Oryzias latipes: one gene and its partners. The protein of the gene in region 2 binds, or shares a complex with, the protein of the main gene of each other region. Links are inferred from orthologs where the notes say so. Each region holds a gene or a part of one and is shown on either strand. Other genes may lie near its edges.

Region 1 (2,527 bases), on a different chromosome or scaffold from region 2:
TAACCATCTAAATTTCAAAGAAAATGGTCTAACATAAAAAAAGAAAAAAATTGAATGGTCTCTGAGCTTAAATAAAGTACTGTCAAACAAAAATGAGCATTTTTACACTACCAAAAAAAGCTGTTAGCAGTTATAAACTAACTAGTAATCTGTAAAGTGTTACATTTTGAAACTACCTTCCACAACCACTTAACTGAAATTTTGGGAGAAGCTACAGTCCTCAACAATAATTCTTGTGCTGCAACCAGCTGGTGTATAAAATCATCTTTTATTACACTGATCAGAATGTTGGTAATAATAAATCCTCTAATTTAAAGTAAATGAAAAACAAATCTAGACCAACACAACCAGTGTCCACTAAGAGTATTTTTGTTTTCTATTACACTCTCACTAAAGTAAAAGTACAGTGCATTAAAAAAAACATTCTTGTATTTCGTTTGTGATTCTATTGCAGTTTATTACCCATGACTTGTAAAAATATATCTGTAATTTGATTACAAATATGTAATAATTTTTTTGATGGATGGAAAACAATATAAAACAAGAGAATACTAAAATAAATGAGAAACAAATCAAAAGTCAGGCTTAAGTGTCCTTTTATTTACAATTTCACACACTAAATACTGAACCAAAGAAAAGTTAAATCTGCTTCATTCATCCTGTTCACCGGGCATCAAAAACAACCACTGGGGGGAAAAAGTCAAGGAAAAGTTCAAACATTTGAGGAATTTTATTTAAATTAATAATCTTTGGTGGAAATAAAGAGTTGTTTATTTTCCAAACCCACACTATGACCAAAAACAAGGATACATCTCTTTGTTCTCTTCTTGTACATGATCCTGTAGCCACACTCTCTGCACCTGATGGGGTCTCGAGCCTTGATTTCATTTTCAGTGTGACATTCTGAAAGGAAAAAAGTAAAACTGTTGGTACATGTAATTCAGAGAGGCCCGAGAGAAGCAACACGTATAACAGTAATAATAAACACAAATATTGTCATTTAGACATTTTTAGGGCCTTTGGGATGACTTAGAGCCCCGTTTGAAGAATCAATTTTACAGTCCTACTGGCAAAAGATGCAGTGAGCCCCAAATATTTCCAACTTAATGGGTGTGAGTCAATTAAAAAATGGAGTCTGTTTTTAAAACTTTCTTTCTATCTTTTCTTTCTACTATCAGATGCTTAAAAAGTAGCTGCATCCTACATTTAATGCCAACTGTTCGGTTAAAAAAGTTGGATCTCTGAGGCTTGTTTGCTTTTGGTTTCTGGCGAAGACATTTTGCTAACAGTTTCACACAATTCAGCAAAAACATTTATATAATCCTATTTTCAGATCACATCATGAGGAAATTTAATTTAGCAAAACTTTAATAATATTGTGAAAGGACTGTGCTTTTACTAAAATGTAGAAAACAGGTTTTCCTTTTTCTAAATCATTCTTTTTATTTAAAACTGTACTATATTTTATAAAGTTCGTTCAACCTCTTTAATCCTGAAAATTTTTAAATAAATAAATCAAAGCGTTCAATGTAATTATTGTAGTGTAGGGAAATGGGAAAACATCATGATGATGAAATTACTATTGCTATGCTAACTGCATAAACAGTGCCATCATACCTCCACAAATGTAGATCATAGGCTGCTGCTTGGGCGGCTGCAAATCTTTCTGTGCGTCCATTTTCACCTGTAAAGAACGAAAAAAGAAATAAAATGCCTCATCTATCGTTTGAACGGAACAAGCATGGTGTTGCTAACAAGAGAGCTGCCCACACCAACACAAACGGGGCGTTTAGCAAACAAAAGGTTATCGTCCCACAACAAACAGGGTGGGAAAAATAGAATCAATAACCCCAAAGAAAATATTTTACAGCAAGCAGAATAACAATAGTTACGATTGTTTTTTTTACCGTTAGCTTCCACAACTCTTAGCTTTTCTCATGTCTCACTGGCTTGCAACTTGCGCATGCGCTGTACAGTCAGTCACCTTAAAATAACGGGGGTTATGATTGGCTAGAAGTCGATCCACTATATTGACTGAACCAATGATGGCATAGAATGTTAAAACAGGAAATGTGCGTTGGCTCATTGTCACAGACACAAACAGGGCCAATTACTATTGTTGTTTGGTTTTTATATGTGTTTATGATATTTGCAATTGTTTCTTTATTGTGTCACTGAATGTGAATTTCTGTAGATTGAAAAATGTGCAATAAAGTTTAGTGAAAAAAACACAGGGTCTATTACATTGCATTTAGTTCTTAATAAAGTTTATTCTGATGCAAGGTCAGTAATATAAATTATTAAAATACTTCAAATAAATTACTTATTTTAAGCCTTCACACCTAGGGGCAATTTAGAGACACCACATAATGCTATAATCACAACTACCCTAATAGTGCATCCTAGATTATCCAACTAGATCAGGGGAGGGAAAACTTCTGGACTTTCGGGACACAAAGCATTCTAAAATTTGAAACCTTTCTTCAAATAGAGCAGGATCCCATACCTGGAGTGTTCTGGTAATCCA
Region 2 (2,934 bases):
AAAGTCAGATTTAAAAATATTGCCAGAAGTGACCTGAAGGATCTGCAGGAGTCCGACAAACTGGAACCGAGGAACAACCTCACCTGGCTGTGTCCTGGTCCCTCCTCTGCTGAGCTCGGTTCAGAGCGGTCTGCATCAGTTTGTACCACCTTCGCAGGTTAAACTGGGCCCCTGTCAGAGAGAAAGCATGAGCTTGAAGAGCCCCCACCAAGAGGACTCACACACAGGGGGCACTCACGGACCCTCTCCGTCTGTGGACCTGGCGTTGTTGGACAGCTCCCTGAAACCAGGAGAACCGCAGTGAGACGACCTGTCTGTGGAATGGATGTAGGGGGGTGGGGAGGGCAGGGCAGGGGGGGTTACCATTCGGTGTGGTCGTCCAGGCCAAAGAGGAGCTTCATGGTGACGATAATGAGCGCTGCCGCCTGCAGGTCGTACCGGGGCAGGGTGGGCTGGGACTCGGGGTGGAACGTCTGGCGGCTTTCATGGAACAAACCTGCGAGCTCCGCCACTCTGCAGACCCACCTGTGCAGCTCACCTGCAGACAGGAAGGAGCCGCTCAGCCCGCGCAGCATGCATGTCTGTCTGTCAGCTGGGACGGAGGAAGCTGTTACCGGGCAGGTTTGCATCGATCAGGTAGCGCAGGCTCAGTGGCCCCGGGTGGAGCAGAGTCTGCTGGCTGATGGGAGGAAACGCTGGAAGTTGCAGGAACAGAAGCAGATCCTGAGCCTCCTTATGCAGCGAGCGGTGAGACGGTACCGTCTGCAGAGACAGTTCACCACATCGTCAACAAACAGGAGAACACAGGGCAGAGGTCAGCAGCTCACTCACTCCAGGTCGTTACCTCTGCAGTAAACAGAAGAGCATCTTTGCCGAACAGCTTCATCTGCTCTGGGAGCTGCTCATGGGCCTTCACATACGGGACGCTTCCACAGTTCACCAGTCTGAGAGCAAACACAGGATCAGCCCAACATCCAGCAGTCCAACGCCTGGTTTGGAGGAGCAGATTACCCAAGCAGGTCGCTGAGAGTCAGCGCCTCCCGGCTCCAGACCAAGGCCAAGTGGATCAGGGCCAGAGTCTTCTTCAGGCTCAGGAGTCTATGGCTCCGCCTCTGACGGGGAGTCAGGTAACAGAGGCTGTCCGCTGATCCAGACCAGTCACTGCCTGAGGGATTAGGCTACATTTCAACATACAATACTCACAATACGTCATGGATATTGTGAAAAAAACAACAAACTCAGTGGATGTGATATACACAGAGACGTGGTGAGCGATACGCCGAGGTCAAAGGTCCTCAGGGTTGGCTTTGGGGAAGGAGGTGTAACAGTCTGGACAGGTATCACCAGTCAGGGTCAAACTGATTTGGTTATTGTAAATGACCCAGTCACTGAATGTTCTAACCTCAGAGACATCATAGAACCATTCTCATCCCCCAATTCCACCAGAACACCCCCAGCTTTCTGTTCATGGATGATTACACCCTATCACATGGTACCAGTACTGTCACAGCAGGACTTCAGGAAGTGGGAGTAGCTCATGTGGTATGACCAGCAATGACCCTTGACCTGAAACCCATAGAGAACGTCTGGGACCAGCTGAAGCAGACTGGATGATGGTATCCCACCCCCAAGTGAGCTGCAGAACTACATGCAGCACTTATGGAAGATTGGTTCAGACCAACACCATGAGGTTGGTGAGGAGACGTCACTGTCAAGCTGCTGTTGATGCAAATGCTGCAAATACCCACTATTGACATTTCTGTTATTTGGGGCTATTTTTATTATTGTCCTCATTTTAGGGGTAATATTAACCTAATGAAAATGTTTTTTTCTCATTAATTTTTAGTTATTAGTAATATCTCCAACTTTCTGTCAGTAGTCTAATTCAATAATTAGATAATAATAATAATTCACTCATTTCAAAGTCAGACCCCCCTGTAGTCCCCCAGACGGCAGAGATCTGAGGTCTGGCGTCTCCATAGTCCAGTGACCAAAGACTTCATGGCTGACCCCAGCTGCTCCTGCTGGGGGAGTCAAACATACCTCCTTTAGAGCTGGGGCTGCTGCAGGGATTTGACTCTCCATCCGTCCCGCTGGCTGATGCCACAGACGCCTCGGCTGCGCTGTCTGAATCCGAGTCTGCGTCTCCCTGGGGGGGGGGGGGACAGAACAGAAGGCTGCTGCAGTCATCATCACTCTTCCTCTGAAGACATTTATGTTTGTTCCTGCATTTGAGTGGATCTAAAAATTCAGACTAAACTGATATCCCTCCAGTTATGAAAAAGCATGGAGAGCATATGAATAAATAAACATCCGTGTTAGTACTCATTGAAATCATGTATATGATTATCTCAGCACAGATTTTCAAAGGAAGGTGAGTCACAGACTGAAACTGACCACTCTGAACTTGGCGCTCCTAACTCGGTTGACGCAGTAAGCCTGCCGGCTCTTCTGCAAGTAGAGCCTCCACAGCTGACGCAGCACGCCGTCCTAAAGCGGCGAGCCACACACTGATCAGACGGGCTCAGGCATCGATGGCAGATCAATACGGACAGATTCAGACCTTGAAGTGAGGATGGACTCCCAGCCTAAGCAGGGCATCCGCCTGGTTCATCAGGATGAACTGGAAACCTTCACAGACCATCCATGTGTGACGGCCACCTGAACGACACAGAACACGTGTGAGACAAAGAAACACAAACGTTTCAGATGGGCACTGCCATCAAACTGAGAGGAACCCAAAAGCATTTTCAAAGATCTAAAACTGGAAACGAAGCAAATGTCTGAATGAGAGTTCCAGAGTTTAGAAGCAACAAGGATTCATGGAGGAGCCTGAAGATCAGAGGATGCTGGAGGAAGACAAACCAAAACACGCTTTAATGCACCACGGAGACCTTTAGAAACAAGAAGGAATGATTTAAGATGCACTCCTAA
Region 3 (2,881 bases), on a different chromosome or scaffold from region 2:
ATCTGAAAGATGGAAAACCTAGATGTTTGAGGAGAAAATTTGTCACAAATCCAAAAACCACAAATACAACAAACACCAAAACGGAAAAGTTTGGAAACATCTTCAAATTCACGAAATGACAACTTCAACCGAGTAAACTTTAAACGTGACCTTATTAGCCAATACAAGTCATGTGCCACTACAGACCAGTTTGGGCCGTTCATTCAGATGCATCTCCAATAACAGCAGCTGTTTTACTGCTTATAAATAGAACTAAGAGAAAACCATTGGTTCTTTTACCTTACATATTGTGCTGTTGAACCACCATGTTACTCAAATTTCAAAGTGTTCAATTTAACAATACTTACAGAAAACTGTATAAAAACTACTGAATGTCATGGATCTGATGACCTATGAACTCTATAGGTTTCCACCCAATGTGACCGATTCAAGTTTCTTTTCTAGACTTGAAGAAATTGAAGGGGTTTTTTTTACTTCAAAAAATTTCCTCCAGATAGTTTCAGATAAATAAATGAGTCTGTGGCAAACACACTGCTTAAAGTAAAAAAAACCTCAGATGTTACAAAGACAAAACTCTGCTTTATGAACAGGATGTATGAACACGTTTATTAACGCACAGTACAGCTCTAACAGTTGTGGAGGAACAGGTATCCAAATGGAAAATGGATTTCTGGTGACAACATCCATAATAAGTGGAACAGACGTTAAGTTGAAACTTATTTTAAAAGTTTGGCTTCTGAAAGGTAATCCTTAGGTTGGTTAACGAGAAAATGAAATCAACAAGTGCCAGAAACTCAAATCAAAAAGTGATAAGTACTTTTCTAAACAAAGTTTTGCAAAAAGAAAGAAAGAAAAAAAACCAGGACAAGCAGGAGCATTTACACTGTTAACTCACTCTCTGCAGAGATTTATAGAAAAAAACAAACTCCTTTGTCTTGGTGCATTTAAATTGAAGACAGACTAATGAACATTATTGTTTTGAATGCCTGTTAACATCATTTTTCCAAGTTTCCTGTTTGCTTTAAGCTTTTTGGAACATCCTATCAACTTTGAATGACTAATAATTGAAAATAAGTTATATACATTTGTACAAGTTTTACAATAAAGCACATCTGATATCACAATTATGCTCAGTTTCTTCATAAAAAATAAAAAGCTTCAAGCAATGATGGAAACATGGGGTGACTTTGACTGGTAAAGGCAAATTATTGCAGAACAAACTACAGTCTGGATCGGATAACTCAATTATTGAAATGGTTTCTATTCGTTATAAAATGAGGGCTTTCACTGTAACCTGGGGACAAGTATGGCTTCAGTTTAATTTGAAATTTGAAAAGTTAATCGATTTTGTGGCAAGATTGTTTACAAGGGGTTGACCCAAAAAATAAGGAGAAATCATTCATAAATCGAGTAAAGATAGAAAAAAATCAGTTTGCAATATATACAAAACCTGAAACACTGAAATAAAACCAGGAAAAGTCCCGGTCTACCTGCCTTTTTCTTCAATACTTTTTACATTTTCGTACAATTCGATGTAAGAAAACTTGCCAGCGAGGAAGAGAAGAAAATGTAAAAGCTAAAAGCAGGTAAAGTTCCGGGTGAAGATCAATTGTGATGAGGAAACGAGCAGAGGACCTTTAAAATGTCTTTTTGGTTAAAAAAAAAATTAAGGGAAAGACAAATAGTCTTTCACATTCAAGTCTTTACTGTCAACTTGAAGAGGTCAATATTAAAATGTTAACATCTCAGTGAATATTAAAGAAAAAATAGACAGAAATGTAAAAAGTTATAGCGTTTGGATAGAAAACAGGGAATTATAAGTTCTACGTAGTCTTGCGGAATCCTTTCAGGATGGGATAAATGTTTTCAAAAGCTTCATAGATTTCTGCTCTCACCTTGGCACCTAAAAATAGAAATAAATACAATAAGTTAAAAAACAGAAGGTAAAGCTCATCAAAAAGAATTTAAAAATCTGTTTTGGAACTTCAATTTTACATCAACAAAATTCTAAATACTTCACGGAGAACAAAGAAAAAATAGAAAAATGCTAAATAAAAGTGTAAACAATAAGTACATACAGTTAACATCCTGTTTTACTCACAATAGGAAACAAAAAAGTCTAGTGAAAACTTACCTGTGAGTACCACCTTCCCAGAAACAAAGATAAGCAGCACAATTCTAGGTTTGATCATTCTGTAAATCAGGCCTGGAAAAAGCTCCGGCTCATAGCTGCAATACAAATATTACCTCATTTTAGAAAAGCAAAATAAAACCAGGAGAATAAAAAAAAAATATATAGTTTGCCATCTGAGTGTCAAACTTCTGTCTGTGAGTCAGATTGTGGTTTAGGATTTTGTTCAATTCTGACCTGCTTATCAGATTTACAGACACTGCAGGAAACCAGTTTAAAAAATGGATGGTTTTGGAGCATTAATAAAATCTGATGCATACATATCATTGTGGTGCTTGTTCAGTACATTTATATCATTTGTCATCCATTCAGATTTATTTTTTTACTTAATATTTTCTTTTATGTTAAACATATATGTTTAATACCTAAGTTGGCATGTGTGTCAGCACAGCTGTCCCAACATATTTTCTTATCAATAACTGTCAATAGTCGATTAAACTGTCACATTTTTGAAAAGCCTTTCAGGGATTTTTATACGGATTCTTTAAATCTGCAGTAAAACAAGGAGAAATTACCTGCTGAACTGCTGATGTGTGAGGACCAGTCCTTCCAGACGAATGGGAAACTTGACATCACAACTGCCCACCATGTTTTGAATCTTGAAGTCCAAAAACTTTGCAGGAAAACCGAGCTTTTGCACCACACGGGCATATTTTCTAGCTGCTAACCTGGACTGTTCCTCACTACAAA

What was found. Proteins that work in one complex are often made in the same cells at the same time.
Region 1: taf1b (region 2) and polr2k share a complex: the UniProt entries of both Homo sapiens proteins name them as parts of the pol I pre-initiation complex. The link is inferred for Oryzias latipes from reciprocal best matches to the Homo sapiens genes TAF1B and POLR2K.
Region 3: taf1b (region 2) and tbp share a complex: the UniProt entries of both Homo sapiens proteins name them as parts of the transcription factor SL1/TIF-IB complex. The link is inferred for Oryzias latipes from reciprocal best matches to the Homo sapiens genes TAF1B and TBP.

The regions. Positions count from the first base shown.
Region 1 is NC_019869.2:7,020,610-7,023,136, reverse strand, and holds the end of polr2k (DNA-directed RNA polymerases I, II, and III subunit RPABC4), read right to left. Parts: intron 2,103-2,527; exon of another isoform or gene 1,908-2,102; intron 1,685-1,907; 5' UTR 1,679-1,684; coding exon 1,618-1,678; intron 904-1,617; coding exon 811-903; intron 687-810; coding exon 664-686; 3' UTR 580-663; downstream 1-579. UniProt on the Homo sapiens protein: DNA-dependent RNA polymerase catalyzes the transcription of DNA into RNA using the four ribonucleoside triphosphates as substrates.
Region 2 is NC_019882.2:22,300,544-22,303,477, forward strand, and holds part of taf1b (TATA box-binding protein-associated factor RNA polymerase I subunit B), read right to left. Parts: intron 2,662-2,934; coding exon 2,564-2,661; intron 2,491-2,563; coding exon 2,398-2,490; intron 2,150-2,397; coding exon 2,044-2,149; intron 1,166-2,043; coding exon 1,012-1,165; intron 945-1,011; coding exon 845-944; intron 763-844; coding exon 615-762; intron 539-614; coding exon 364-538; intron 281-363; coding exon 243-280; intron 172-242; coding exon 84-171; intron 1-83. UniProt on the Homo sapiens protein: Component of RNA polymerase I core factor complex that acts as a GTF2B/TFIIB-like factor and plays a key role in multiple steps during transcription initiation such as pre-initiation complex (PIC) assembly and postpolymerase recruitment events in polymerase I (Pol I) transcription.
Region 3 is NC_019861.2:24,478,842-24,481,722, forward strand, and holds the end of tbp (TATA-box-binding protein), read right to left. Parts: intron 2,875-2,881; coding exon 2,707-2,874; intron 2,230-2,706; coding exon 2,135-2,229; intron 1,904-2,134; coding exon 1,824-1,903; 3' UTR 580-1,823; downstream 1-579. UniProt on the Homo sapiens protein: The TFIID basal transcription factor complex plays a major role in the initiation of RNA polymerase II (Pol II)-dependent transcription.